2 linked regions of the Styela clava genome follow. The protein of the gene in region 1 interacts with the protein of each later gene in a pairwise test. Links are inferred from orthologs where the notes say so. Each region holds a gene or a part of one and is shown on either strand. Other genes may lie near its edges. The genes, in order: AP-3 complex subunit delta-1-like and vesicle-associated membrane protein 7-like.

What was found.
Region 2: the proteins of AP-3 complex subunit delta-1-like (region 1) and vesicle-associated membrane protein 7-like interact in a two-hybrid assay, tested with the Homo sapiens proteins (2 studies listed by BioGRID and IntAct). The link is inferred for Styela clava from reciprocal best matches to the Homo sapiens genes AP3D1 and VAMP7.

The regions. Positions count from the first base shown.
Region 1 is NC_135250.1:30,758,155-30,775,072, reverse strand, and holds the start of AP-3 complex subunit delta-1-like, read right to left. Parts: upstream 7,144-16,918; 5' UTR 7,018-7,143; coding exon 6,916-7,017; intron 5,560-6,915; coding exon 5,464-5,559; intron 3,973-5,463; coding exon 3,892-3,972; intron 1,987-3,891; coding exon 1,798-1,986; intron 1,103-1,797; coding exon 973-1,102; intron 1-972. UniProt on the Homo sapiens protein: Part of the AP-3 complex, an adaptor-related complex which is not clathrin-associated. The complex is associated with the Golgi region as well as more peripheral structures.
Region 2 is NC_135250.1:21,519,920-21,536,402, reverse strand, and holds vesicle-associated membrane protein 7-like, read right to left. Parts: upstream 3,538-16,483; 5' UTR 3,434-3,537; coding exon 2,735-3,433; 3' UTR 460-2,734; downstream 1-459. Other genes in the region: inositol monophosphatase 1-like, read right to left, coding at 1-431; arylamine N-acetyltransferase 2-like, read right to left, coding at 13,909-14,285, 14,503-14,686, 16,391-16,483. UniProt on the Homo sapiens protein: Involved in the targeting and/or fusion of transport vesicles to their target membrane during transport of proteins from the early endosome to the lysosome. Required for heterotypic fusion of late endosomes with lysosomes and homotypic lysosomal fusion.

The sequences.
Region 1 (16,918 bases):
CCAGACCCAAATATTTTTGAAGTTTTGTATGCGGGTCATCAGTAAAAATAGTTGAGTAGCCCTGACCTAGGGTGTATTACATTGAGTAGACTGAACCTGAATGATTGTGATACTTTGAAACTAAGCCCTTCAATAAGCAGTCTTGTTCTGATGAAAAACATACACACCTTGGTCAGGGTGTGATGAATTGGATAGGGAATGCTGAACTAAAAAGAGCTCATTCAAAAATATCATAGCTTTTCACCTATCAGTGATTGATTACTTGTTCAGTGTAAAAAACAAATGAATACAAACTAAAAACTAGCAGATTACACATCTTGGATTCAATTCTTATGCCGTTTCCCTCCTCAACCTGAGTGTAAAAAATTGAGTAGGCAATGCTGAATCAGTATGATTTCCATCCTTTATTAAAAATAATCTAACCCCTAACTCAGGGATGGGCAACTTCTCCAGTCGGCGGGCCAGATGTGGGAAAATGAAGTCCTCGGCGGGCCGGATTATTACAAAAAATACTTCGATATCCAACCTCTGTTAAATGCTCGACACTCTCTTGTCAATTTTTCGTTTCTTGGGATATTCCATGGTTAATAAAACTTAATATAAAATCTAATTTCTAAAATCCATTTATATTTAGAATCTAAATATAAATACATCTGATAACAGTAGTGGGGAATGTTTACAACGCTCTCTGCTTTGACCTTATATTGTTTGTTTAACAAGTGTTTGTAACAATTGTTTGTTCATTAGAAAATTGTTTATTTCCCAAGCTCGCACTGACAGTGCGGTGAGAGTAGAGCGATCGGCAACTTTCAGGAATGATGCGTCGGACCATATTACAGAGTGTGGTTGGATACAGTCAGCGGGTCGTTCAAAATTCCGGGCTGTATGTTGCCCACCCCTGCCCTAACTCAACAGTGATTGCTTATACTGAGACTTTTTCAGAGTAAAAAGTAAAAAAAAAATTACACCAACCTTGATCAGGGTCCTCCAGCTTTTCTTTTAATCTTGGAAACGCAGGTCGAAGAGCGTCAGGATAAGCAAGGAATATTTTATATGAAATAAGGACGGCTCGTTTGCGAATGTAGGGACGAGTGGATGACATCTGAAGAATAAAGATTTTTTATTAATTATCAAATCGGGGGTTATCAATCTTTTTTGTAGAGGCATTTCAGAGGCATAAGAATAGAGGTCCCTGTGTAATAGTATGAATTGTATAAAGTATAACTACATATTTATCTACATAAGGTGTCCAAAAAGTATCGCCTGAGTTTATAGTAAAACAGTTAAAAATTTCTTTGTCTTTGTTTATTAATAGTTCTTATTGTGCTCGTAGTTCTCACTTATCAATTTATCATACTATAAAATTTATTCGAACTTACAGTTGTTATTATGAGCGATATTTTTAATTGTTATTACTAAAAAATCGAACAAATTTGTATATATTTAAGCAAATCTAATACTGGCAAAACAAAATGATCTTTAATAAAGTGTAGCAAGTTAATGATATAAGTAAATTAGCAAACCTAATAAAGGTATTTGGTTGTATTTAAACAATATATATATATATATAATAATTTAGACTCTAAGATTTAAGCGGATACTTGCGGAATTTCTGTGCTGCACTGACGTAACCAGGGTAGAAAACTACTGAATTAAGTTTGGCTCATGTGCAAAATAATATCTGTCCAAATTCTGGTAATTGAGTAACTACAGGCCTCTGCCTGCATATTAGTGTATGATTGAGACACTATAGCATTGCCTGTACAACTTTGATCAGAAAGTCATCAAAAAACTCACCAAAGCCAGAATATCGTTGACTAAATCTCTTGCTAAATCCGGAGTAATGAAGCATGACAGTCCGCTGAGAGCGACTCCTGTATCGTACATTGTCTGCGATCCGAGATCTTTTCGAATCATATTCGTTGTCAACATGAGAACGTCGGTTTCAGAGTGGAATGATTGAGATGCAGCGAAATATCCGATTCTCTGAAACAGAAAAGAATGATTAATTCTGTGAGGCGTTTTCGCAGTCTAGCTTTGTGCGATCAGGTACCCTGTCATCCTATGGTTGTGTGTGTGGGTGCGTGTGAGCGTGTGTGAAATATTTCCATTATTTTAGGTGAGTGAACACGTACCACTTCTTCTAGGCCAGTGGTTCTTAAACTTTTTCGAGCGCGACCCAAATCTGAGTTTTATGAATACTCGCGACCCAATCCTAAATAACGCAAAATGTGTTTTTAATGTTAGTACAGTTTGACTCAAATACAGACAACTATTTATTAGAAACAGTCCATTGACTCAGTGAGATTGATGAAACTGAAATTTCCTTTTCATTATATCTTCAATACACAGCTCTATTTTACATAACGCAATACGCAAGTTGTCACGGGTATCGAGGCGATTGCGAGCTTAGTTTTGATAACCGTCAGTGCCAAATATCCTCGCTCGCACAAATGCCTTGTCGCGAATTGTAGCAACAGAGGCGTCCGCTGTCCGTCGCAAACACGACATCCTAGCTGGCCTTCGGTATCTCTCGCAATATACAACTTTTTACTCATCAAATGTGCACACACCGCTTCGTTCGCGGTAAATGGTGCCTCGAGATGAAGTCACATTTTTTCTAGATATTGAATAATCTAATGTCGAGAAGCGAGCTTTTTCATTGCGTCGTCTATTACAATTTACAATACCAAAACGACACCCATTTTTGGTTATTTTAATCCACTAAGACGACATTCCACGCGGTCAACACAACGTTGCATGGTTACCGTTACCATAAAAATAATACACGTGACTGGCATATCAGAATTGTGATGTAACAATGAGCTCAAGACAGTTCTTTCCGTGAATGAAATTTTATATTCCATTATTTTTAAATACCAGAGTTTGGAAGCTAAATTGAAACATTGGGAAATCTGAAAATTCGTCCGTCTCCTCTTAGATTGCCCTTGCATTAACGACCTTGTCGCGACCCATTTTTAAACCTTCCGCGACCCATGTTTGGGTCGCGACCCATGCTTTAAGAACCACTGTTCTAGGCAATACCTTCCCTCTTGTATACATTCAGTACGTTTTAAACCTTATCTAAGGTTTTGTTTGCTCTCCTGATTTCTTATACTTATATTTATCTGTATTAGTTGTCATAATGAAATGAATGCTTGACAAGACAGAGTACAAATATTTGTTAGGGCTGAACAAAGCCTTCTGTAAGCAACTACTCAAATATGAGGTGCTACAACTTTATCGGAAGGGCAGCGATCTTTCATGTTCAACTTTGGGTACCTCCGTAGTGCATGCGTACCAGGTAGTCCCTGCCCATAGGCTTCAGTCCCTTTACAAAACTTGATGTAAAGGAGGCGAACAAAATTACCTCCATATTGGTACACACACTCCTAGAGTGCCCAACATTGTCTATGTAATTCAATTAGGTGTTTTCTTAATACAGCTGTTTACTAGGTAAAAGAGACTGTCATGAGATATAAACAGCTTTACAGCAGTATCTAAATAATTCAGACATGATTGGTAACTTCTATGACAGGATAGCCAGAACCAAACAGTTTATCATTTCAACTACATTCTGTAATAATAATTTATTCTAAGCCGAATAATTTTTAATATAAAACAGTCAATTTCCATTTAATGAGATTGAATACGATAATGTCGGAGAGAATTGAGATGATTAATGATTTAATTGGCTTTCTCTTTTATAAAGTTTTAAGAAATTAAAAGTGTGAAAACTGTGAGACATGAATTGCTCAAAATGAATCTGAAATGAAAATATTTCTAAAATTTTTACACTGAATGATAGAATCTGCATTTACTTATGAATATCTACATTTTCCTACCCAAAATAAATTTGTGAATTAAATGCAATGCAACCATCGTACCAACCTTGAATGTGAACTTTGGTGAACTCATGACTTCGATGATATTGAAAGCTGCCCAACTGATGTCATACCCAAGCATTTGAAGCTGAAAAGAATAAGACAAAGTTAGGTATAGAGATGGATGTATCGTCCCATACACCATTTGAATTTCCTACCTCATACAGGGATATTATGCTTCCATATAAGCAGTTCTTTAGATATAGGGATGGATGTATGATCCTAATTACCATTTGAATTTCTGTATAGTGCTATACAGAGCTGCTATTGGGCTGACATAAACAGAAGGTTGATAATATGGTCCCAACCACCATTCAAATTGCCTCCCTGACTTGACTGCCATATAGACAGCAGGTAGGAATCGGGATGGATATGCGGCCCTACTCGCCATTTAAATGGCTTCCTCCATAGCAGGCTGCCTGACTGCCATATAGACAGCAGATTAGGAATAGGGATATGGCCTCCTCTATACAGGGCTATTGTGTTGTAATATAGACAGTAGATTATGGAGTATATTATGACCCTAATTGCTCGAATTTGAATTCGCTTGTTTTAATTAAACATGAATTCGCTTAAAGGGAACTCGGTTAACGAAAAGGCTTCTCTTTAATTCATAATATTAACCGGTGGAGCGCTTTCTCGAGTATCTATGCCGTTTTAAATGGGTTATATGAAAGGCTAGGGCACATAACTTGTGAAAATCGGCAAAAGCACTTTCGCACTTTTTTTTTCGACTGCGAAGCACTTTCGCACTCATAATTTGCTTAGAGTTAACACTGATGTGGACCCCATCGCTATTCGAATGGCCTCCACTATATAGGGCTATTGAGCTTCCATATAGACAGTAGGTTAGAAATGGAGGTGGATATAATATATCGAACCATATTATGGTCTCATAGATCAGGGCTACTCAACTATTTTCACCGAAGATCCGCATGCGAAAATTCAAAATTATTTGGGTCCGCACTTTCCAGAATTTATATATCGGCATCCTTAAACGCACACTTCCTCGACCGGCTAATGATTATTAGCTAATCAAAATTGCTTATTATGGTGTTATAGTTGTTTTCATATATATTCAAAACTATAAGTCATTTTATAAAAGGAAACTTCAAAAGTGGGGCTAATGATCTAAAATAAAGAATTAGGTGCGGTCCGAATCAAATACTCGAAAGGTTCGATTTCGGACCGCGGTCCGCCAGTTGAGTAGCCCTGTCATAGATCATTTGAATGACCACCCCTGCAATAGGCTATTAGGTTGATATATAGACAGTAGGTTAGGAATAGCGATGGATGTATGGCCCTAATCGTCATTTGAATAGCCCCCTCTGTGGAGGGCTATTGGGCCGTCATACAGACAGCAGGTTAGGAATAGGGATAGATATTAGGCCGTGGCATAACAGCTGGTTTGGTTTTTAGGGCAGTTATACAAGATGTAATGCGACGTATTATGTGAAGAATTGCCTTCATAAACTCATAACTTTGCTCAGATGTGAGTTTCCTTTACTTCTGAGTGAGGACAACCTTACTTTGAGGAAATATTTTTTAAAAAAAAATAATATATTAACCGGCAACTCACATAGATAAGCTTGTTAACAGCATTTGCCTTGATTGCCGCATTGTCTTGCTTCAGTTCACTTTTGATTTCTTCAACACAACCAGCGATGTAGCGAGACTGAATTACAAAAAAGTATGTTCACACTTTGGATAGGTCTCAATTAGGCTTAAGTCACTCTATTCGAGATCAACTTTAGTCAAGATTTATCAAACACATACTCTGAGTTGGTCATCAAAATGAAATGGCTCGAAGTTGACAAACCCCCAATGAGAATTAACTCAGTGATTGACTCGCCTCTAGTTGGAATCGAGTCACCTTTAATCAAATACTCAAGGTGACTCAAGTTATCTGAATAGAATGACTCGTAGACTAACTCTCAGTCCAGTCTGGAATTCATGACCTTTTTCCATGAGAAATCGGGTGCAATCAGTGACTGCAGCACTCCAAATGTCTGCATCCGCGTGCAAAATTACTAAAACTGCGTGAAAACCTAGATTCTCAGCGTGCAACTAACAGAATGGCCATATCGGAAAAACTTTGAATAAACAAGTGTGATAGGCTATTATTTTAACGGGGTGCTTTGACGCAGAGTTCCATCTAGCAAATGACGAAGGCGATCCGATTGCATATGCCAAAGGTCAATTAATCGAACAATTATGTTCAGGAAACAAAAAAGTCTCGCATTTCAAGAGAGGCCCATTTAGCTGTTAATCGGCGTGGGTTATGGCATGTTCTTGATGCCGAAAGGTCAATTTGTAATATTAAAACTCATCAGCACTGTTTATTGGTGGCTGTTTCATTCCACCACCCTCCAGACTGTCATATATAACGGTGGACAATCCCAAATTTTCCGGCGTGTAAAATGGAATTTCGCTCGCATGCATTTTGAGGGAGCATTAGCAAACTCAGGTGTGCACCTGCCATGGCATCCAGTCTGGTCCTCAGTAAGACTCAAATGTGATAGACTTAACAACAAATACTAGGATAACCTTTGACCTTACTCGGCTTGTGACTCTGGGTTTCAGTGCATATAAATTCACCAACAATAAATTTTTAGGGGGGGGGGGGGGGAAGTAGTTAATAATAAATGCTACTAGTTTAATTAACCACACAGTCATATTTGATAGTAGGTTCATGATTTTTTTTCTAAATTCAAGATATCTTGAATAAATAAAATGATAGATGAAAGAATAAAACTTTTCCATTATAAAATCAGAACCTTTCCAATTCTGCCTCGCCAACCCAATTTTATAATAAATGATTGATATTGAGTTTTAAAAATTAAAATTTATTCCCTGTCCATAACAGCAAGTCTCTGTACATATGTGCGAATTTTTTTCTGGTATGGTACTGTCCACCCAATTTATCACATAGGAAATGCATATTTGATTTTCAGCAATTTTCCCCTGGCTGAGAATTGCATTGCAATGACACAAAAAAAAAATTCAGAACACAAACAAACAAGACACAAACCTCCGACTCCTTATGATTCCGAATTCCTCTGACAAGATCCTGCATATTCTTATCAAACATTCGATCCAAACTTCCCTTCACTTTTTTCAGTGTAAGAGCCATCTTGCTGTTTTGTTCAGCTGAAACTCCTATTGATAAATCCCAACCAATTTTAATGGTGTTTTTTGCTGATTTAAAGACTAATTTATTTAGATTTTATTTTCAAATTTTACCATTGTAATTCCTGTAAACACTGATTAAATACAGACATTGGAAATATGCAGTTGAGTGATCCAAACTTCCATAAATTTTCCTCTTCCCTTCCCTTATAAAATATTAGACTATAACAGTATAATGTTAAGAACTGGTTCCACAATCGGGGCTCCCGAAGTATGCGAACCAAGATGGCGACATCAGAATGTAATATGTGTACTAGGTTAGGGTTAGGCCATAATTTTAGGTATAAATACTACGGGAGGCTCTTGGCTAGTCTTCGAACTGATAATAGGACTAAAATAAGGAAAATTGGAAAAAAATTATCGCCTAACCCTAACCTGTTACATTCGGATGTCCGCCATCTTGGTTCGCATACTTCGGGAGCGCCCCACAATCATTACATTAATTGTTATATATTCGTGGAAAAATTTATCATCAACATCTGAATTTTACTACCAAAACAGTCAGACAGTAGAGTTATATTATTAATATTTAAATTTGTTTCTTTTTCTTGTTTGCTTTTTTGTTTTTAGAGTATAAGTATAAGTATAAGTTTATTTCGACTCCATAATCAGCATAACAATACATTTGACAGATAAAAACAAATAAATAAAAACAAATAAATAAAAACTGATTATGAAATCAGGGGAGCAAACAAAACCTTAGATAAGGTTTATAACGTACAAAATATAAGATGGAAGGTTTTGCCAAGAGGAAGTGGTACGTGTTTACTCACCTAAAATTATTAAGTTATTTCACACACGCTCACATGCACCCACCAGCCACACACACACACAACCACTGAGAAGTTATTTAAGTAAGAATAAAACGCGATAAATTTAGGGTATACTATACAGTAAACAAAAAAAAAATAAATAAATAAATACTGAAATACTAGAAAAGAAAATTATCTGCCACACCATATTGATATTTTTGTAATGGTTGCCATTGCCAAATTGATCGATCTTCTAATCGTTAATTAAGATATAAAAGGAAGATTCTATTGAAAACATATTGCCAAGCTGATTATAGTTGGAGTCAAATTATAGTTGGAGGTAAGTTACGTCGTACTGTAGCACTCATACCGGTACTGTCGCTTTAAAATAAAATATCCGTCTATTAATCTACTTGTTACCAATACGGTACCGGTACATTGGCCGATTCGGCGTTATCTTCAGTTGTTAGCATTTCAGCATTTGCTGTGAAGTCTAAGATATCGAAAAGTCACATGAGCGCTTATCGGCACCGGTAGTTACATTTCCGCAGCGTTAAGTATCCTTGTGAGTACTTACTTATCATGTATTGAAACAGAGAAAATATCTTTTACAAATCAATGCATGAAAATGTTTAAAATCACAAAAAAAAATCGACGAAAATCAAGAAAAAATCGACCGGCGGATTGCGAACCTTTCCGCTTCATCAAGTTTCCGATTCGCCGTGGCAGAAAGGTCGTGAACTTTTATCAATAGTTTTTTGGGTATTGATCAGAGTCTAGTTTTCAAATTGACTCATGAAACTTGTAAATAGAAGGCAACAGTTCATTCTAAAAAATATATTTTATTCGTTCGCAAACATTAAAACAATACAATTTATAAAAATGAAATAAAGATTTAAAATGTTGAAGTCATCAAAGTCAATTACCACTCAAAGACAAATGCATAAATAAATAGTTGAACAGGTTTAAATAATAGGATGATTAGAAAGAAACTTTCCGTATGGGATAATTTGCATCGCGTAGCACAATAAGGGTATATTTCTCAAAGATTGACCTCCAATATATTGACGTTTATTACTTGCCAAAAATGGTTAAATATCGATCGAAATTTAACGTCAAAAATTATGATTGCCGTTATGATCGTCTAGCTCAGTGTCTTTTAATCGGAGTTCGATCAAACCTCTGAGTTTCGGTGAAGCCGTTACAAGGTGGTTCGACAATATCCTCTGAAATATTGATATATTATGAAGTTATATTTATATTATCAAACATATTATTTAAAAAGATAACTATAGTTAGATAAGATAAGTTTATTTCGACTTCATAATCAGCAAAAAGGCAATAAAACGGTTGATAAAAACAAATAAATAAAAACTGATTATGAAATCAGGAAAGTAAACAAAACCTTAGATAAGGTTTAAAACGTACAGAATATAAAATGGAAGGTATTGCCAAAAAGAAGTGGTGCATGTTCACTCACCTAAAACTATTGAATCAAATCGTACACACTCGCACACACACAACCATAGGGCAATAATCAAGTTAGAACTAAGAGAGAAGCTTTCAATCAATCAATCATTTATTTCATTACTCTGACAAAAAAGCAAAACAGCACAAAAAGTAGACGAACAAACAAAATGCAGAGATACCTGGAAAGCGAGCATAACTTAAAATAAAATTAAAAAACATCAAAGTACGCGCCCGCCCACCAAAAAAAAATTCCAACAATACAAAAAAACACGATTCAGAATCGTGCAATGCTTTTCAAGGGATCTTTGGATAAATTATATTATATGGCAACAAAAAATAAACACGTAAAGAAGAAATTAGAATAAAAGATAGGAAATATAATAAAAATAAGAATTGCTCGCCACACCATTTTAATAATTTCATAAAAATTCCCAAACAAGAGTGAACAGTATTTAATATAAGGACAAAAAAAAAGATTTCGCCAAGCTGATTATAATTGGAGTCAAATGCCAAATTGCCGACCAAAATTGCCAAAGTTGAGTGCATGAAGAGGTGGGATAAATCTTTTCATTTACCAAGGACACACCAAAATATTGCCAAATTGTAGTCCAGATTACATTAATTATTAAATATTACTGGTAACAGTTAAAAAGTATAATATAATTAGAATAGGGGTTCACTGATATCGAACTCTCACGTATAAACAACTCATGGACAATGTTAATTATGTGTTGTTTAGCGCAGATATAAGTGTTAGTGAACCTGCCAATGTCTGTTATAGTTGACATGGACAAACTACGACCCGTGGGACAAATCCGGCTTTTTGAGTAATTCAATATGGCCTGCATGATGCTGTTACAAACAAATTAAAATCAGAATTTTGATGTTCTAGCTAAAAATAGCTCTAGGAATTTGTTGAGATTTCGATTAAATTTAGTTTTGGCACGAGGCTTGTTTCCCACTTTTTCTTTTGTAACACTGCCAATAAAATTCTGTTCATGATATGTAACTTTTTACATCACACTTACGCGGCCCGCCAGTCAAGATGGGCAACATTTTTGACCCCTGGTTCAAAAGCCTTGCCCACCCTTGCTGTTGTAGTTGACAAGAATCTTTGAAGGCTGATACCTAAATGAATGGAGACATCAACGTTTTCAAACCTTTCAGCTTCGTGAGTTGCAATTTTATTAAGATTTTTTCGACCCGTATGACTTGTACAACAAAAGCGTCTTCTCACAAATACAAGTCAACGCCATTGTGGCCTAACAATGATTTTTCGACACAGCGTAATGATATCTAAGATTAATGGTCGTGGTGATACCAAGTTACAAGACGACTGAAACATTGCAATATCTCCCGGGCTGTTTTTTAGATGTTTTATAGTAAGATCTAGATAGGATAGGATTTACATATTTATCCAAGGGGAAGGAAAGCCCCTAAGACGGCTTAATCATATGGCAAACCACGGCCTCTTGTCCGGTTACCATTCCAAGTCGGGGATGGGATTATTTAGCCAGTTTTGGCAAGCATACCTTGATGGCAGAAGAAATCGGCCAGCAGTTTATCAACTCCGAATGATCTTAGATATCTGCTATGATGTTTACAATTTGGTATCCTGAGTCAGAGTCAAAAGTTTCCGTTCAGTTATGGGTGGTTCACGTAACCGCTGGTCGGTTACGGCTTCCTCCACCACCAAGTCCATAAGTATAAGTATAAGTTTATTTCGACTCCATAATCAGCAATAGACGATAAAAAAATAGATAAAAACAAAAGTAAAAGTAACTGATAACATGCTTCCGAACATGCTTCCGAAAACAAACAATATAACTAATCCCATACCTGACTTGGAATGGTAACCGGACGAGAGGCCGTGGTTCGCCATATGGATGAGCCGTCTTATCGGCTTTCCTCTCCCCCGGGATAAATATGTAAATCCTATCCTATGGATCGAAGTTTTTTTCCCCAAATCGTTTTAATGGCGGCTAGATGTCGCTACAGATCCAGTGCAAAACCATTTTCGAAGTTTTTTTAGATGTAACTTATCTGAATATTGCAGGATACAGGACGATAGATCTTAAAGATCAATACTTGTGTAATAAAATATGTGGATACGAATGATCAATATTATGGAATTTTTTATCTGTATGTAATGATCTATGTTATTATTTTATTTAATATCAAAAAAAAATATGTGGCTACATTAAATATACTGATATAGGCTAGGTAATTCGACTTGTTTTGTTGTCTACCAAGTCCTACAAGAGTGGTGACTCTTCTACGGCCCATGGGCCGGGGCCACGGCCCATCTAATTTGGCCACATAGCTTGATGGGCCACGGCCCCATCGGGAAAAATTCAATTATCTTACTGAAATTTTCAATTTTTACAGAATTGTCAATATTCGAACCGAAAAAAATTGCGAGATGCCACCAAATTTTTTTCTTACGATAAGCCTTTATATTTAAAATAAGCAAAATACCAAGCAACAGAAAAGAATACTCCTGTAGTATGTGTACCACCACTGTGAAGCTAGCAGCACTTTCAGCCAGAATATTTTTATACATTGAATATAGGTTCCACGCGCATATATTGTTCACTTATAAGGTAAATATGAAAATTGAAAATGCTGATCAAAATATAATATTGGCACGAAAATAGATGAAAAATTCTTAAACTGAATGAATACATTAAATTTAACAAGAAATTAGTGTTTAAAAAAAGACTAACTAAGCGAAAAATGAATTTTCAGGTATTCCGCAAATACGAATTTTCGGAAAATTATCCTTTTCGGAACCTCGATTCCTCGAAAACCGCCAATAAAGGCAGCACCACGACACATTTGGAAAAAAGCAGATACCCTATAAATTCGATTTTTCTATAACAGAACAGTAGCAGTACGTTTTGGCTTGACCATATATATTACCAAACATATCGTGTAATCTAAATTTTAATAACGGCATGGACGTAACAAATTCAAATTGATTTTGTATTTCAAATAAATTTGCTAGATAATGGATAAAATATCATTTTCTTTTTGTCACACATTAATACTGTACATCTTTTAAACTTGGAATACGTTGCGGGAAGTATAAAACAGCAAAAAATCATTTGCGACTCCTAGTGAATTCTGTCCTGGATTACAAAAAATTATCGTTTTTAAAATGGCGATTTTTCGAAAACCGCCAATAAAGGCAGCACTACGACATATTCGGATAAAAGCACATACATTATAGATTCGATTTCATTATGCCAGAACAGTAGCAGCACGTTTTGACTTGGCCATATATAATACCAAACATAGCGTATATTCCTCGATTTTTAAAACAAAGGTACGTAACATATTAAAAAAAGGTTTGTATTTCAACTAAAGTTGCAGGATAATTGATCAAATATCTTTTTCTCTTTGTCGCACATCAATACTGTACATTATTAAAGTTAGAATAAGTTTCAGAAAGTATAAAATAATAATAAAAAAAATTTTGCGCACCCCCTTGAATTAGTTTGAGAATTTCAAAAATTATCGTTTTTGGATTGGTGATTTCTCAAAAACCGCCAATAAAGGCAGCATCACGACACATTCAGAGAAAAGCACATACCTTATAGATTCAATTTTATTATGTCAGAACGGTAGCAGAACGTTTTGACTTTGCCATATATAATACCAAACATAGCGTATACTCTTCAATTTTATTAACAATGTGGACGAAACAAATTTAAAAAGGAATTGTATGTCAACTAAATTTGCTGAACAGTTGATAAAATATATATTTTTCTCTTTGTCACACATTAATACTGTACGTCTATTAAACTTAGAATGAGTTGCAGAAGAAAAGTATAAAATACCAAAAAAACATTTTACGCCCTCTCGTGGCTTCTTTCAAAATTTCGAAAAATTATCGATTTTGGAAGGGGAATTTCTCGAAAACCGCCAATAAAGGCAGCACTATGACACATTCGGAAAAAAGTATATACCCTATAGATTTGATTTCACTATAAAAAAACAGTGGCAGCATGTTTTGACTTGGCTATATATAATAATACCAAAATAGCGTGTATTCTCAGTTTTATAAACATTGTCGACGTAGCAAATTTAAGATGGATTTGTATTTCAACTGAAGCTGCTGGAAATTGATCAAATATATTTTTCTCTTTGTCACAAATGAATACTGTACGTTTATTAAACTAAGAATTAATTGGGAAAGTTTAAAATATAAAAAAAAAACATTTTACGCTCTCTATAATGGGTTCTTTTCTGAATTCCGAAAAATAATCGTTTTTGAAAGGGCGATTTCTCAAAAACCGCCAATAAAGGCAGCACTACGACACATTCGGAGTAAAGCAGATACCTTATAGATTTGATTTCATTATGTCAGAACAGTAGCAGCACGTTTTGACTTGGTCATATATGATACCAAACATAGTGTGTATTCAAAATGTTATAAACAATGCAGACGTAACATATTTAAAAACCGTTTGGTATTTCAACTAAATTTACTAGATAATTCATCAAACATCATTTTCTTTTGGCATACATACATACTGTACGTCCATTAAACTTGGAAGGAGTTGCGGAAAGTAGGAAATACCGAAAAAATCATTTTACGCCCTCTTGTGGATTTTTTTCGGAATTTCAAAATAATATCGTTTTTGAAGGGGCGATTTCTCAAAAATTGCCAATAAAGGCATCACTACGACACATTCGGAGTAAAGCAGATACCTTATAGATTTGATTTCATTATGTCAGAACAGTAGCAGCATGTTTTGACTTGGCCATATATAATACCAAACATAGTGTGTATTCAAAAAGTTATTAACAATGCAGACGTAACATATTCAAAAAACGTTTGGTATTTCAACTAAATTTACTAGATAAATTATCAAACATCTTTTTCTCTTGGACATACATATATACTGTACGTCCATTGAACTTGGAATGAGTTGCGGAAAGTATGAAATAACGGAAAATCATGTTTCGCCTTCTTGTTGATTATTTTCAAATTTTCAAAAAATTATCGTTTTTGAAATAGCGATTTCTCGAAAACCACCAATAAAGGCAGCACTACGACTCATTCGGAGTGAAGCAGATACCTTATAGATTTGATTTCATTATGTCAGAACAGTAGCAGCACGTTTTGACTTGGCCATATATAATACCAAACATAGCGTATAATTTTCAATTTTATCAACTATGTAGATGTAACATATTTAAAAACGGTTTGGTATTTCAACTAAATTTACTGGATAATTCATCAAATACTTTCCTCTCTTGGGTATACAACAAAACTGTACGTTGATTAAACTTGGAATTAGTGTGCAAATCTTAAAATGCCAAAAAATGATTTGACGCCCTCTTGTGGATCCTTTTCGGAATTTCAAAAAAATATCGTTTGTGAAAGGGCGATTTCTCAAAAACCGCCAATAAAGGCAGCATTACGACACATTTGGAGAGAAGCAGATACCTTATAGATTCGATTTCAATGAGTCAGAACAGTAGCAGCACGTTTTGACTTGGCCATATATAATTCCAAACATAGCGTATATTTTCAATTTTATTAAAAAATGTAGATGTGACATATTTAAAAACGGTTTGGTATTTCAACTAAATTTACTGGAAAATTCATCAAATACTTTCTTCTCTTGGGTATACAACAAAACTGTACGTTCATTAAATTTGGAATTAGTGTGCAAATCTTAAAATGCCGAAAAATGATTTGACGACCTCTTGTGGATCCTTTTCGGAATTTCAAAAAATTATCGTTTTTGAAAGGGCGATTTCTCGAAAACCGCCAATAAAGGCAGCACTACGACTCATTCGGAGTAAAGCAGATACCTTATAGATTTGATTTCATTATGTCAGAACAGTAGCAGCACGTTTTGACTTGGCCATATATAATACCAAACAGAGCGTGTATTCAAACTTTTATAAACAATGCAGACGTAACATATTTAAAAACGGTTTGGTATTTCAACTAAATTTTCTAGATAATTTATGAAACATCTTTTTCTCTTGGACATACATATATACTATTCGTTTATTAAACTTGGACTAAGTTGCGGAAAGTATAAAATACCAAAAAGCATTTTACGTCCTCTTGTAGATTATTTTCAAAATTTCAAAAAATTATTGTAATTGAAATAGCGATTTCTCGAAAACCGCCAATAAAGGCAGCACTACGACACATTTGGAGAGAAGCAGATACCTTATAGATTCGATTTTATTATGTCAGAACAGTAGCAGCACGTTTTGACTTGGCCATATATAATACCAAACATAGCGTATAATTTTCAATTTTATCAACTATGTAGATGTAACATATTTAAAAACGGTTTGGTATTTCAACTAAATTTACTGGATAATTCATCAAATACTTTCCTCTCTTGGGTATACAACAAAACTGTACGTTGATTAAACTTGGAATTAGTGTGCAAATCTTAAAATGCCAAAAAATGATTTGACGCCCTCTTGTGGATCCTTTTCGGAATTTCAAAAAAATATCGTTTGTGAAAGGGCGATTTCTCAAAAACCGCCAATAAAGGCAGCATTACGACACATTTGGAGAGAAGCAGATACCTTATAGATTCGATTTCAATAAGTCAGAACAGTAGCAGCACGTTTTGACTTGGCCATATATAATTCCAAACATAGCGTATATTTTCAATTTTATTAAAAAATGTAGATGTGACATATTTAAAAACGGTTTGGTATTTCAACTAAATTTACTGAAAAATTCATCAAATACTTTCTTCTCTTGGGTATACAACAAAACTGTACGTTCATTAAACTTGGAATTAGTGTGCAAATCTTAAAATGCCGAAAAATGATTTGACGCCCTCTTGTGGATCCTTTTCGGAATTTCAAAAAATTATCGTTTTTGAAAGGGCGATTTCTCAAAAACCGCCAATAAAGGCAGCATTACGACACATTTGGAGAGAAGCAGATACCTTATAGATTCGATTTCAATAAGTCAGAACAGTAGCAGCACGTTTTGACTTGGCCATATATAATTCCAAACATAGCGTATATTTTCAATTTTATTAAAAAATGTAGATGTGACATATTTAAAAACGGTTTGGTATTTCAACTAAATTTACTGGAAAATTCATCAAATACTTTCTTCTCTTGGGTATACAACAAAACTGTACGTTCATTAAACTTGGAATTAGTGTGCAAATCTTAAAATGCCGAAAAATGATTTGACGCCCTCTTGTGGATCCTTTTCGGAATTTCAAAAAATTATCGTTTTTGAAAGGGCGATTTCTCAAAAACCGCCAATAAAGGCAGCACTACGACTCATTCGGAGTAAAGCAGATACCTTATAGATTTGATTTCATTATGTCAGAACAGTAGCATCACGTTTTGACTTGGCCATATATAATACCAAACAGAGCGTGTATTCAAACTTTTATAAACAATGCAGACGTAACATATTTAAAAACGGTTTGGTATTTCAACTAAATTTTCTAGATAATTTATGAAACATCTTTTTCTCTTGGACATACATATATACTATTCGTTTATTAAACTTGGACTAAGTTGCGGAAAGTATAAAATACCAAAAAGCATTTTACGTCCTCTTGTAGATTATTTTCAAAATTTCAAAAAATTATCGTCATTGAAATAGCG
Region 2 (16,483 bases), about 9.2 Mb from region 1:
TTAGCTCCTTTACCTTTGAATGCTGTAAACATCTCATTCAAAATCGGGTTATAAACTACACCAAAAAGACGTTCTTTTTTCCAGACGAACCCAATACATACAGCAACATATGGAAATCGATGAACGAAATTAGTTGTTCCGTCAATAGGATCTACAATCCAAGTAGGAGCGTCCGTTAAATTACATTTTAGTCCGCCCGCAACAGACTCCTCGCCTATGAAATCATGTTTAGGGTAAGAATTCTTTATTGCTTCTAAAATTGTTTTTTCCACATTTTGATCAGTCTCCGTCACAAGATCTGTTGTGCAAGATTTTGTCAATATTTCTTTTTCCGAGTAAAAAGCATCCCGGATCATTGGGCCAACCTTTTTTGCCAATTCGATAGCAAATGCAAAATATTCTTCTGCTAATTGAAAATCTTCAGAATCCATTTTGATTTATTCTACTTTTATTGAAGTGCTATATAAAAAAGCAACATTATATATAAGTATGTTTATGATATTTGCAATGATAGTACACAATGTAACTTCATTATTTCTATATTATAGTACTGATAAAAAATACCCCTCGATTTGAGATATTGAAAATGGGCAACAGATTTTGGAATTTATACATCCCTGTATTAAATAAGCAGCCTTGAAGAATTTAGTTTTAATTTACAGCAGAGAATTTCCACAAAAAAAAAATTCCTTGTATATCATGAATTTTTAACGAATTGAAGTCAACACTGATTGTTCATGACACTAAAGAAAGATGATTAATTTGCAGTGAACACTTAACGAAAAAAGATTGAACTTGCGATTTGAGAATTTCAAATTTTCAACAACTTCAATAAAATAAAATCTAATTTATATCAGAGTCTGATGCCTCTCAGTAAACCTTTTTTGAGCATTTAGATTACCTGTCTCATTCAAATAAGCATTAGTATGAATTTTGGTTCAAATCATTTACATTTATACCATATCTACTAAAACCCATTATAAGATAACTAAGGCACAAATAAAGAGTATTACAAAATGCTACAACACTTGTATTAATAATTTAACTTAATGGATTTAAAAAGAAGAATTTTAGCACAGTCGCACAGCTTTCAAAAAAAACTTCTATGACATATCTCAGGGGTGACCAACAGGACGATTGCCACGTCTTGAGTTGTCGACCGTGCTTATCAACATGCCTGCAAGGAATATGTGTTTAACCAATATCCAAGCATCACTCATTTAAACATGAACATTATTAAGCAGCAGGTTCTTGTGTGGTATCTGTCAAAACTGAGCCCACCATACCAGAGCAATCCCGCACGGGCTTTTTTAAGAATCTGGGGGTGAACAGGGTTCCAGTCTAGGCAGGGGATAATTAGGATGGCTATATCCACAAGCAGCTCTAGTGTCTGGTGTTCAGGGATTTGAAGCGGAACATCCTTATTGAGGTTCAGTTCTAAATTTAGTACTCGTTCATTTTTGTGTGTGACTTTATTATCCATCAGTCAATCGCAAGATATTGTGAAAAATTAAGTCAATCTCAGTCAAAGACAGGTTGGCCCCCCCTGGCATAACTGCAGACATATTCATTTATAAAACAGTCAAGTGAGATAAACAATGCTATGTTTCAAGCGCATGAGAGCAATTCAGAGGAGTCCAAACAATTCAGAGTATATGAAATTCACAAATGAATATATTTCCGAAATCCCAGAATCATCAAAATTGGGGCTTTATATGGTAATTTTACACAGTTTTGAATAGTCATTCATGTTAGTAGAATATGTCCATTCGTGGAAATTCGATTTAAAAAGGGTTGTCAAGTTATATTTATTTATCATATGATCACTGGACAGAAAAAATATACAGCTAATGGAGTGAAAATGAGACATAACAAAAGGACACAACTAAAAACTATCATACCCTAAAATACAACAAAACAAACTTATCAAAAATATGAAGGATTATCATTTCCTGAACTTTTAAAATAAACTTTCTGTCATGCATTGTGCCAAGAGTCTAATTATCGTTGCACCACTGCTTACTTTACACATGAAACACAATATCAATTTTTGTGGAGATAGTTGCGTGCAAGGGTTGTTCAAATACATTGAAACAGATTGAACAGACCAATGCAATGAATTAACAGTAAATATTAGACTAGGTATGGTAAATGGGGAATACCTAATCAGCCACAGTTTCTAGCATGATTTATTTATTCGTCCAACATGAAACCATAATGACAATTCAGGTTGATGAAAAAATATAATACAATAAGAGCTACTCAAGGCAAGTGAATGAAACTCATCAAAAAAAATAACATGTACGACTAACGAATATCCAGTATTTAACAGAACCAAATTGATAAGTGTTTCCCAATATATGCTTGTACATTAACGAAGTCAGGAAATGACTCATTGGTGAAAATCATTGAAGAATAACCGTATTTGTTAAGTAAAACTCATACTCCAAATCTGCCTTTTAATAGTTTGACGGCACTTTTGTATCACTCAAAAACTATAAATGAAAAAGTCCGCTCTAGCAGAGGTATTGAACAAACTTAGAGAATTCACCAATTCATAGGTTCAGTTTATAACCACTATTTTCAGCTTAATGCACAACACAAAACTAGAACCATTATCAAAAAACAAAAATTTGACTTCAAAATGCATGAAAAAAAAATAACCCAAATCACTAATACCAAACTTTGGCAAACTATATGACAAACTCACTACACGAATCATCAAATAATAAATTCAATCAATTCTTGAACCATTATTAGATTTCCCCACGCACTTTGGCCAACTTAGTCCTCCACAACCCGCAGAAACCAAAAAATATATGACTATTATTGCAACAACAATCAGGACGATTGTTATTTTAACATTTTTCCAAAATAGCTTCCTAGCTAGGTTAGTGCTTTGTTTTTTGAAAGTGACAGATGATTGGCTAAGATCTTCTGTTTTATCCACAAGTAGATTGAGATTTTCTCCGCGTTCTGTTATGCTATCAATATTTTTCACCATTATACCCTTTAATTCATCAAGCTGATCGTTGACTTGTTTTACTTTTGAAATCTCGGGGGATTCCACGACAGGTTTGGAATACTTTTGCATTTGAGACCACAGTTCCCGCGAAAATTCATTATCCATCGCATATGGTAAAGCTGTCAAAGCAAGATCTCCATAGTTTCTCTGAAACTTTCTTTTTATTTCTCCCAGAAATTGGAACGCCTTCGAGCGCTCAAATTCATCTTCTGTTATGGCGTAATATACAATTCCATTTTCTCTTACATAATGAAATAAATAATTTCCTTGCGAATATGTCATTTTTGTATCCTTGTCTGGAATCTTTTTCAGTATCTGGTCCGTGACTTCGTCAAAATTGCCAGCACAACTTGCGCATTTGGCAAGAATTGTCGTCTCACGAGCGACAACAACATATAAAAGAGCCATACTTATTTTAGATAGACTAGTGAGCTAGACCATGCCCAATATAATTCTGTAAAGTTTCAAATTTTTCATTTAGCATTATAGTTTGATGTAAGACTGAATACGATAACTCAATCTCCTAATTAAACAAAAAAAAACTTTTCATAAGTACGGTATACCGGGTACAAACTTATTAATAATGTGCCAGGCTCTATTGCTGTGATTGGATATTTTATTTATTGTCCCAGCAAATTTCAGTACCAGGTACCAAGTCAATTCGACTCACTGCTGCTTCTATCACAGTATCTTTTTTTTTTTTTTTTTTTTTTTTTTTTTTTCTATAAAATTGAGATGGTATTTTTGAATAATAGGTTATCAGTAATAGGTTGCGCGAAAACAGCACAATGTGCCATGTGGTATAAAATTTAAAATATAAATTAAAAAGGAGTGAAAAAGATTTTGTTTCCACAAACAATGTTAATATTACAAAATAATACAAAACAATATTCAGTAATTGCAAAGCAATTTAAACATTGTTTTGTGCAGGCCAGTACTGCAGTATGACCATCGAAGGTCACTATGGCTGCTGCGCGTTTTTGTGCACTATGACTGTATGAGTAAACTGACAAAATTGGTTGCGACAATATAGCTAAATGGAAAGATGAGAAAATAGCCAGAGATAATTTTTATTCGACCATTTTACATCTTATAACTATGCAACTTGACTCGGCGTAAAATTTTTTCATAATATACTGTTACTGTTATATGGATATTTAGTATGTTATTGATCACCATAAAATAACCGACTCAATGTAGAGGGCCTAATCAATAAAAAAGCACATATTACTGTACTAAATAACACAAATGACATTAAATTATTATCAATTTCAGAAGTTAGACAACACTTTCAGACTTAACAGTAAATATTCTTCAAGAAAAAAACATTCATTATACTCATTCAGAGGCTATTATTATATAATATACCGGTACCTTATATCTGCATGAAATGACTGAATGATAAAACGCCTTTTCTCAGCAATAAAACTAAAAGGCGCGTTATCAACGTCTAAGCCCATCGAATGACAATTCGGGAACAACAGCCACGATATCTTTTTTTTTTTTTTTTTTTTTTTATTTATAAAAACAGTCAATATTATCAATACTAGTCAATCTTAAAAATGTACTATCAAAAGCTATGACATTACCGACTTTTCTAACAAGTTTTCAATTCTTCCATCCTCCAAAAAGCTATTTTTCATATTTGATGCCATATTTTTCAGCATCCCTCTAATTTTACATTTAAAAATTATTCTCATAACTGATTGGAAATTATCCAAATCTTCAAATATTATTTGATTCCTGAATTCCCAAATAGCTGCCTTTCCACATGCAACTATCATAATAACTGACAGGTCACATGTATTTTGTGCAATAATGGTATCAATATTATTTTCACTAAAATGCAACTCGCACCAATCCCAAAATATTTTAACATAATAGCATTCAAAAAATAGATGTTTACAGTCTTCAATGATATTAATATTGCACAACACACAGTGACCATCATCATATTCTGTCCAATGCCTTGTTCTATTTCCAGTAGGTAATGCCATATGAATTATTTTCCAACATAAAACTTGTACAATTTTAGATATTCCATGAACCCAAATGTTATTCCAATCAATATCAAATTCCAGTCCATAATATTCCTTAATTGATAAACCTTTTTGTTTTGTCACTTCCATTATCTTTTTACTTATAATTTGATTATACATATATTTCGTGGTTGGAAGTTTTTCAAATGAATATATTGAACTGGAATCTGTTTGAACATTACTTTGACTATTCAACACATTAGCCCATCCTGATGGTATGGCTTTTAAAATTTGTACAGAATCTTTTACTACTTTCCTATAACAATCAAGTTTTTTATTTTCACGCATACTACTCCATTTGTTTATGCCCCAAATTTTGATTGCTATTTCAAGACAGTCATATTGGAACAGATGGCCAAATGTTAAAATGTTTCCTCTTATCCAATTATTTATAAATTCTGGTTGATTCAACCATGTTAAGGCTGGATTCCACCATATGTATTGATCATATATTTGTTGTTTAGTGGTAATTTGTTTCGTTTTTACATCAAGTTCCTTGAATATGTTGACCGAATTTATATAAAACTTAGGAATGTTATTATTCCTTAAAATTTTCAAAGAGAGATGTAGTATTTCTAAATTTGTCACTGTTATTTTAGGATGGTATCTATTTATAAATTGTTTCGCTCTCTTTGCCCAAGGAGCCTCATCACTTTTTAATAATTTCCAAATCCATCTAACTTGTAGACTTTTAATCTGACTACACAGATCCATGGCCTTCAGACCTCCTTCAACTTTCCTTGCACAGCAGACTCTCCTCTCTACCGTGGGTTGTTTGTTGTTCCATACAAAATCCCATACTAGGGTCTCAATTGTTTTAATGATATCATTTGGAATTGTTATTACAGCCGCAAGATACCACAATTTAGATAATAATAGACTTTTAGTAATCAGTATTTTCCCTTGCATGCTCATAGTTCGAGCTCTCCATATATTCACTACTCTTTTGATTTTTTCTATAATTGGATTCCAGTTTTGTTGCGTCGTGTCATTGTTGCCGATCCAGACACCAAGGACACATAAACTATCCCTTTTTAATGCTATACCTTGAAACTATCACAGTATCAACAAGTCCCGTCCAACTTGTCATCATAGATTTCGTGCGTAAAGCGCTGCTGCAATGCAGTAATGCGACCCGCAATATCCATAATGCTGACTGGCTGAAGTGCGCTGTTGATAAAGAGGCCTAATTGTTGATAACGGGACATTCCTAATGCGACCTTACTGTGCGCAATGCGATGCTCCTCGAACGACCAAAGGCTATACCGGTATGCTACAGTACCGGTAGTCTATTATTTGATATGAGAAATATGGCTAACGCTTATACCGGTATACGGGGCATTTATAACATAAAGGGTTAGTGTGTATATACTAAGGTAAGGTTCTACGCAGATTCATTCTTGTGGAAGCTATTTCATACAAAATTACATTTTCGCAAACTTACATACAGTCGAAGTAGCCTACACCAAGAGGCGGAGGGAAATACTTTCACATGTATAAGTATAAGTTTATTTCGGGTCTCAATAATCAGCAAAACAATAAAATGATTGGTAAAAAAAATAAATAAAAACTGATTATGAAATCAGGAGAGCAAACAAAACCTTAGATAAGGTTTAAAACGTACAGAATGTATACAAGATGGCAGGTTTTGCCAAGAAGAAGTGGTACGTGTTCACTCACCTAAAATAATGAAAATATTTCACACACGCACCCACACACACAACCAGAAGTTATAAATTAAGAAGTTATAAATTACATACGGGTAGTTCAAAAATAAAATAAAAATTACTTGCCATACCATATTAATAAATTTATAACGTTTGCCACTGCCGAATTGATAGATTTTATAAATGGGAGTGAACAGTAGAGATAAACTTTTATGAAAAATATATTGCCAAGCCAACGACTAACATACCAAGCTGTGCCAAGCTGATTATAGTTGGAGCAATGACATTAAACAACATGATGCGCCACTCCGCCATTTTTGGCCGAAGATCGTGTCCGATAGCACGCTCCAATGCACATACTTGACGAGACGAAAACGAGCGGATGTGTGCTGCTTTCAAGGAATAGCACGAATGGTGTTCGTGCCTGCTTTGACAGTTGTTGTCGATTTTAATGATATTTTGTAAAGTTGAGGTAGAAAGAAATTGAAAAAAGGTAAGGTAAATACTATTGTTGTATATCACACCCGGGCATCGCACTGTTTAGTACATGTGGGAAAGCCAGCTTTTGTCAAATACTACGAAGTTATTAATTCAGTACGGTACGTAGTTGTCCATTTGCCGAAATTGCATATTTACTTACCCCTTATGGTTTCAAATAGTTCATGCACCTCCAGTTAGATTTTTTATTCAGTGAGGATATATACTCATTTCTGTAACATACTATTGCTCAATAACTTTTATTTGCGTATTGAATCAAAGGGTTAACAAGTTCACCTAACATTTTACTCATACCGGTCTATATTGTATAGTCTGATCTCTCAAGTATAAGAATGCTTGTAATTTTCTGACTAAACCCTTTTATTAGTTGGTTTATATACCAAATTCAGTAAAACATATTTTACATAGACATGGGATATTGGATTTATTAGCTTTCCCATTCTAAATCATATAGACTGCTTTATTCATTCTTAACGAAAATTAATAAATCTCCTCTCTTTCTTCAGATGTGAATGTTGTGGAAAAACCTGTCTAGCATTGTGAGACTCCTGCAGCACAAGCGGCAATAGCAAAAATAGTAAGTATATCAATCAAGAAATTAAGCCGACATAAAGCAAAACTTTCAACTATTCGTCTATTCTCAATTTCCTATTATTTATTCACAGGACAACTGTAGCAGAAGCAGATATCAGAAGTCTGGCGACATATCAGTGACAGTGTGATTCCAAGAGAGAGAGAGAGAGAATTTTTTTATTGTTTCGTCAAACCAGAAAACTCATACAATATATATATGATAGCAAAATGAGAAAAATTAGGTTTCGGTAGATGACAGGGTGGTAACGATACGACCATTAACAGTCATCTGAGTCGGTTACCACCCAAAGCAAGCACATGAATAAATAAATTAATAACACAGGTTCTGTAATATTACACTCTCAGGATATACATATGGAAAAAAACTATATACACTATGTAAAAAAAAAAATGATATATAATTAGAGATGAGAAAAATTTCTAATCGGGATTAGGAAGTTATTAAATAAATTTTAAATAGAGAGGAGCAAAAAATAAGAATTCCATTCCAAATTTATTATTATTTGTTATATTAATTTACACTTTCAATCTGTTCTGAATCTTCTTTTGTGCTTACACATGATAAAATATGAGGGATATGATCACAGGGAAATTGAAGGTTCTATGAGTGACAATAATGTGTTGTGTGAAGAAAACCATAGATTGAGATATGAAATGTAGGCATAAGAACCAAGAAATATAATTAGAATACTCCATAAATGTTTGCAATAGAAGAACAACCTATGGAGGCATGCAAATGCATTTGACCCTCCGGTAGAGTTGTGTATGGCCCCTACATCCTGCAAGGCTTGAGGAAAATAACTAAAAATTCCAATGCGTAAGATTGCATAAGCGGTCTTATTTGTGAAAAAGCACAAAACATGCCAGGCATTCTTAAAACAGCTTTGAAAAATGAGGATTTCGGGTCACTCACTACACCTGTGTTATATTTGGTCCATCAACTTTTGGTAGTACTGTAGAAGAAATTCAGGAAAGGGTATAATCATGATTCATGATAAAATACTGGTATATATTTTGGACAACTTCAATCTAGACCAAACTCGCGGCCCCAGAGAATTTCCAGTGCGGCCTCGAACGCTTAATAATAATTGTAAAAGTATTTTGGAATTTTTTTTTTATCTAAATGTAACAGATTTTTCAAACTTTTTAAAGTGAAATTGAATATTCACACAGAAAACAATTTACTGAAAGTAGTTTTAAAAAATTAATTTTTTTTGTTCACATTTTAACTCGTTTAAGAATACACATCAAGCTAGCAAAATAATACTTGAATAAAACACTTGAGTGATTAAATTAAACGCAAAGTACATGAAGAAGGTGGCATTTTCGAAGAAAATGGGAGTTGCAATATTTCTGCATTTCACAAAATTCTCTGAAGCACATTGTTTAATTTGTCATATTTCCATCAGTACAATGAAATAACACAATAGGCTCAGCAGTCAATATGACAAATTCGAAGACCAACTTCGAACAGAAAATTTCCATATGTTTGTATATTAATATAATTATACAACTCTTTTGTTACTAAATATCAATAATAATTCAAGCAATCCTATGCCATGCAATGTGGCGCGAAATTTCTTGTCGAAAAAATCTGTCATTTGTTTTTTTACTGATCTATACATGAAATGATAAATATAACTTTTTTGCATTACTGGAATTAATTAAACATTCGCAAAGATCCACATTAACCCATGATCATGTGACCTCGTTAGTTAGAGTTGGTACTATAAAATTATTTCATCCTGGCCAAACGTCAGGACAAATGTAATTAAAAAACATAGAGTTTATATTGTAGTATTTTTGTTAATTTTAGGTTCATATATTTAGATTGAGTCATTTTTTAGTGTATGTATTATTCTTTCCTTATCCAAAGCTTGTTCAAAAATGATTTTGATGGTTGTACATAGAATTTTATGATTTTTTGTAATAAATACAGTAACTTGCAATAATAGTGGAATGCAAATAATAACATGAAATTGCATTTGAAATTAAAAAAAATAATAAAACTTAATCCAACTGTTTAGTTGCATCCTAATATATGTCACAAACTAAAACTTAAATCTTGAAAATATCTTTCAAGTATACATTATTAAAAACTGTTTGCGGCCCTTTTTACAATTTCCAACATGCAATGCGGCTCTCGAAAACCCATGAGTTTGACACCACTGATCTATTCTAGACAATTCAAGCATTGCTTTGGGAAATAATATCACTTCAATTAAATTGAAAAAAATCTTGCCGTTTTAAAAACAAAATCGTTGCTATCATAAAGGTAAACCAATTCAGCCACTGGCAATATATTGGCCTTCACAAAGCAATGGAGGCAAAATTGAGAGTTCCTGAGCTAGAGAGAACTTTTGTTCTTTTCTTTGTCTTGAACTTTTCATACTCCACAGCCCCTATTAATTTTAATTTTAATTACCATGTGATGGTCATACATATCTTTAACTTGTATTTTCTGTAATGATGTATTATCTCAATGTGTCAAACTTTTAATTAGTGTGCATATTTTGCTTCCACATGACATGAATGTATTGTCTTGTTTATTACCTCAGCTTGGAGTATTGACAAGAAAAAGGTGCCAGTAAATTCTTTGGTATAATCAGAATTCACAATTAATAGGAATTATAAACAGCCACCAATCAATGAGAATTACATGCGAAATCCCTCACAATAAATTTGTCCAAAAAATTCACCTACTAAGGCAAGTTCGATAGGTGCAAACTTTGTGTTATGGAATTGTATCACAGCACCGTTAAGAGTAGTAAAAACAGTTTTGCTGTTTTGTATGACACCCTCTTTAAATGAAATTTCAATGTTTAAGCGCAAACATTAAAATGACTACCTTTGAACTTTGTCATTATCTGCAAAATGTCCCACACAAATCTTTACGCTATCGCGTTTGTAATCTTCTCTGATAAAAAAAAAAGTCTATGATGTCCATTTTACTCTTTACAGCTTGTATGTCATTCCAGCTTTCCAAGTGAGCAAAACTTCTTAGATATAGAGATTATTTTCTTACGTTACAGGCGCAAAAAGGCAGGTACTAAACGTAAAGAGGACGCCGATTAGCAAAAGCAAGCGGAAAACGGTCGCGAAAGGCGACGAGAAATATGTGCATTGGAGCGTATCATGAAATACAATCTTTCGCATGTAGTCTTATGGAGTGACGTCAGAGTTGCCTATCATGTTGTTTAATGTCATTGGTTGGAGTCAATTGCCAAAAATGCCCAACCAAAGTTGCCAGAATTGGGTGCATGAAGAGGTGGGCTAGTAGACCACTTCATTCCCCAAACTAGAGCCTATTATTGCCAGATTATAGTCCAGATTGTAATAAGTATTTAAAGGTACAAGTGACATAAGTTATTATAATTAATTAAGGTAGGACAACGGGGAATAGGAATATGTTGATTACCAAGGGTATAAGTAAGGTTTTTTTCAATCTTAGATATTGACTTCTGCAAGGACAAAGGAATTAGGATTGTTATTTCACAGGATCATTTCTTCATTTACTTAATGTAACGCAATTGTTGTCAATTCAAATTTATCATAGATGAGACATCAGACTGCCAATTTTGATGATGTAGATTGTAGACACTCTTTATATTCAATAAGCTAGCCATTAAATTGGTCATCACAAACGACCTGAAAAACAGAAAATAAATCTTCGAGTAGAATATTCAAGGGTTACATATTAGGAAATAACACTCACTACCCTACACTTTTGTTGAGAAGAAAATAATATTTTGATTAAATATTGATCATTAGTTATTTATCTTTAAAACGCAAGTTGAAAGACCTGATTTGAATTCTGGTTGGGACACAGGGTAAATAATCTTCGCAAACCATGTAAGATCTCTCAAACCACACTAACCATTTGTATGTTGGCCTTCACGTTAACTTCACAGTAGAACCTTAACCTAGAATAAAATTTTGTATACACACAAGACAAATCATTGAGTACCACAGCAAATCAAAATGAAGGGGAGAATCCAATATATCTCGACTGGTCGCCTAATTACAGTAATAGGTACAGGAGTTAAATTATACCTTCTACAACCCTCACAAAGAAACACACCACTCAAATAGAAATAAAAGATCATGCATGTGGAATATCAGAAACCCAACAAAAAACATGCACATGCAGATATCAGAATATGAGCAGCCATATGAGGAAGAATCTTATGCTTTGCATGCTATAGGACAAAATAAAGAGCCAGCTAGAATGCAAAACAAAACAGATGTGGAGAGCTTAGCTGCTTGTTCAAAAGCGTGGCAGTCAAAAACAATTTTTTCATATAATATTATTACAAAGTTATTTTCTTAACGGAAGCATCCAATTTATCTCTGATTCACTAGTTAACAGAGGGAGAGAGAACTGCTGTTTTGTTGTGTGAAAGGTATTATAATTATGTTAATTGCGATAATTTGACGCACAACGTTAACTGACCTGTCGATAAATTATCGAAATTCCAAATGGACGCGTAGAAAGACACGGGGCAATAATGTTTTTTTCAAACTCAAAAATAAAACTGAAACGAGCCTTTACGAGACTCGCATAGGATTTGCGGCTCATTTACCTTAAAACTAAATTCAACATCATTCCGTGGATACTTTGCCCGTTCGAGTAGAAAGTCTTGTTGTCAAAATTTATAATTTTTTCAAACTTACTCTGTTCAAGTAACAGAGCAGAAATCATTTTGCTATATTGTCATTATGAGTACAACTATTGCAGTGTGGCAACCGCAGGTGTCTCTCTTATGTCGATTATTGAAATTTTCAAATAATTGACTGCTTTTATAAATGATGTTTGGCGACTGCGCGTACAAATTAATTTATAGCTAATTTAATGCCCGGTATCTACTCGCAAAGATATGATAGAAGATTCAGATATTACTTAGCCTCAGAATCGAACCAAAGTTAGTCCGATCCGCACTGTCCCGGTTTTTTGTACCAGATATATGGTAAACCTACCTATTGAACGTTTTGTTATTGTGTTGTTGTTGTTCATCTTGTCAGTATTTTTCTTTCTTTTATTCTTTTTCTTAATGTAGGGAAAATTGCTTCTCAATAACTATAGTTGCCTTGAATTTTTTAGTGGTTAAAAATTGTATTTTCGCATTTATTTTCTCACTTTCATAAATGTCTGTGGGCTCCAAGAGATTCGTTTATTGTGTGCGATGACGTCATCAAAAATTGCGTTTGTTGCTTTCTGGTGGTCAGGCACATTCGCGAAGACAGCGGTACTGATAGTCTACTGCGGTGGTTCCCAACCTTTTTCTTGCAAGCGACCCAAATTTGAAAAAAAGAAATTTGGTGAAACCTCGCGACGTGAGTATAGTTTCAAATACTAAACGCATTGTAATGCTTTTATGGTCGAAAACTTAAATTACTAATACAAAATATTCATTTATGAATAACATTTATTTTACCAAAAATGACCTTAAAAATAAAAAACATGCGCTTATTTGTCATCGGCGAGTTTTAAAATTGTGGCCTGGAGATGCTGCCAAATTTTGAGCTGTGATACTTCCAATAATATGCAATTGGCCTACTAATGAGCAATAACTTGCGCCACTTGAAGAGCTCCAATGTGACCCTCGAACATCCATCAGTAATTTTAATAAACCAGTTAAAAGTTATTGATAATTGAATTACATCAAATATCGCATTTTATTATTTTTATTTTTTTGTAAAAACACAGTCTTATTTAGTCCTTATGTATTTATGGGAGGGAGAACGTGGTGAAATGTTACAGAGGCGAGTTGTTGCACAACAGCACAAAAATGGATTTTTTTAAACATCTTGATTTAAGTTAAAATGTTTATATCTTCATCAGCCAGGAGGATGTGCTGGTTTATTCTACAAAAAATTAATATCGTAGTGGTTCTTGGCATGTTTGATCATGGTAGCTATTATTGCATCAAACAGCTGTTTGGCCAAGGCTCAGTTAGTCTTTGAGTTTCAGTCTTAAATATGTTTCTGTGAATTCAAATAATAATGAACTGCAAGAAATTGTTATGTAAATGTAATTTAATATTTAAAACAAATCAATAACACAAAGTACTCCCCAAAGTACAACTCATTCAATAAATGGTATACTGAGTTTAAAATTCAAAATAATTCCAAATTCTTTTTTCAGAATGTCGTACATTTCTTCCATCGAGCACTTCTGAAATCTCTCTAACTTCAGTGTTACGGGGTCGATATATTTCTTTTCGTAATATAAATTTTTCACAAAAAATTTTCTTCTCTCCCTGTTTTGACGGATCACGATTGGTTTCGATATCATGAATTTTTCTTCATCTTGAGCATAGTCGTGCCCGACTTTACAATCTTCAAAGGTACACGGAGCTTTCTCCACACCAAATAGGATGTTCCACGGAATATCTTTGAAGCGAATTTCATCAAGTTTTACGCAATCTTTTTCGGCTTTACTGTTGAAGTAAAGTTGATCATCTACACAACAGAAAAAAGTCCACCTATACATTGTTTATCAATTGTAAGATATTCGTAAACTGCTAAATATTTCGGACCATTTTAAAAAATGATATGCGTTCATACGAATGTTAATTTCATGATACCTTGAACTGTATAATTTCATTTTACAAACAAAATTATCTAAAGATCCCTAGCACCGATCCGAATTTCGATTTAGACTGTGAACTGAACTCACATTCACTTTTCAAATAGGTTTGTCTCTTCTTCTCCACAATATACATATCTCGATTCTCACTCAGGCGATAAATTCCATTTGGTTGAGATTGTTCAATTCCTACTTTTAAATTCAACGGAAGAACAAATGATGATCCACCCCACCCAACATCTGTCAGGTATTTGTCTTCAGTGTCCCAAGAAACCTAAATTACAGTGTTGATATGATTTGTGGTTGAACCACGACTTTGGGAGCTTATCCTGAACCCGATGCCTGATTTGATCAGAGCCCCGGCATTTGTCTTAAAACGAATAAAAGCGTCAGGTTACTGGGGCGCTGTTTTACCCACTTTTCTTTAAAGTATAAACAGGGGAGAAGGAACGCATTTAAAAATATCTATCGAAAATTACCACCAATAATCAGATTTCTAGAAAACGTGATGTTGATCACTTTCAGTTGAAAAAAAAAATAATTACAGCGATGCTCAAATATATGGACACGAATGCCACAACGAAAAAAAAACCTGGTATGTAAGCTTACCATACGCCCCGCTTTAGGCGGTACAGTCCCACTTTTAAGCGTCTTGTCCCGCCGTCCCGACAAGTCAGCCAAAAGTCCCGCTTTGGCATTCAGCCATCCAGCATAAAACACGAGCATGTTCTCGTTACTGTTGTTGCTGTGTAGCGCAACGCTAGCGTACTTACTGAAGGTGAATGCGTTATTTTGTTTCGTTGTTACTCGCTAACATTGTCAGCGAACGTATCACATGTAAAATCAATTCTAATTGGTCCTGTTCGGACGTTCACGTGAATGTAACATTGAACAACGTCTTTTTGAAGGTGTTATCTACAGAAAAGCATGCTTGGGCGAATAAGTAAATCTCAATGCTGGAAAACGGCAGACTATTTCGTCTTTTTGAAGGTGTTATCACAGAAAAGCATGTTTGGGCGAATAAGTAGGCTAAATGTCAATGCTTGAAAACGGCAGACTACTTCATTATTTTTTATTCCTTTTGCTGTACATAAAAAATCTAAATTCGGATCATTTGTATCGTTAGCGTCTATTCCTTTCTATTTTTTGAACTGAACCCGATATTCAGACAGAGAATATGCGTTCGATGACAATATGGTCAATGACGACAGCCGGGATGGCTTTAAATGTAGGCCTATATAGTAAAATCGGAAACTGTAAAGTTACAGGGTCACAGCTAAGGGGTCGTGTCTTTGGAGGCGTCCCGCTTTGAAGTCAAAAAAAATGGTAACCCTACTGGTATGCAATCTAACAAAGTAGACTTCACGACCTTGCGTGACCGCGAACGCGGAACCGCCACAAGGTGCGTAATTTTGCTGACGTCAATGCACGCAAAAAAATGAATCTCATAGAGCCCACAGAATTTTTTGGATTAAATAAAAGCAATATCCTTCTAGCGAAAAATACAATTTTCAACCACTAATAATTCCAAATCAATTGGTCTGATGGTTTATGTGAAAAAGAAAGCATGATAAAGAAGAACAACGACATAATAACAAAACGATCCATATATATGTACATTTCGTGTCCAAAAATAGAGTGTATGACGTGAATATAAAGCGGCCACAGAATAACTCCGCAATCTCCGCGAAGTAGGAAATTTGTCTTTGGCTAACATCCAATTTATTATAGATTAACTGATTAAGCAAGCTACAAAAATTATTATGGGAATTAGAAATAGATGTAATTAAATCATTACGCGTCGGTTGAAAAGATGAAATTGCTAACTACTACTATCAATATCAAGTGTAGTCGTATTGAAATGACATAGAAAAATCTTTAGCCTGTATTACAAAATACCGATTTTTGTTCTTGACAAGATGAACGCATGCAATGTGAGATTTACAAATAAACGAAACGTACTGTTTTCCGTTCTTACCATCAATACCAGGTGATCACTGACAGTTTGAAATAGATTATTTTTTGAATCGTACATATATCCCATAAGCAATTCGACTTTATATCCAAGTAA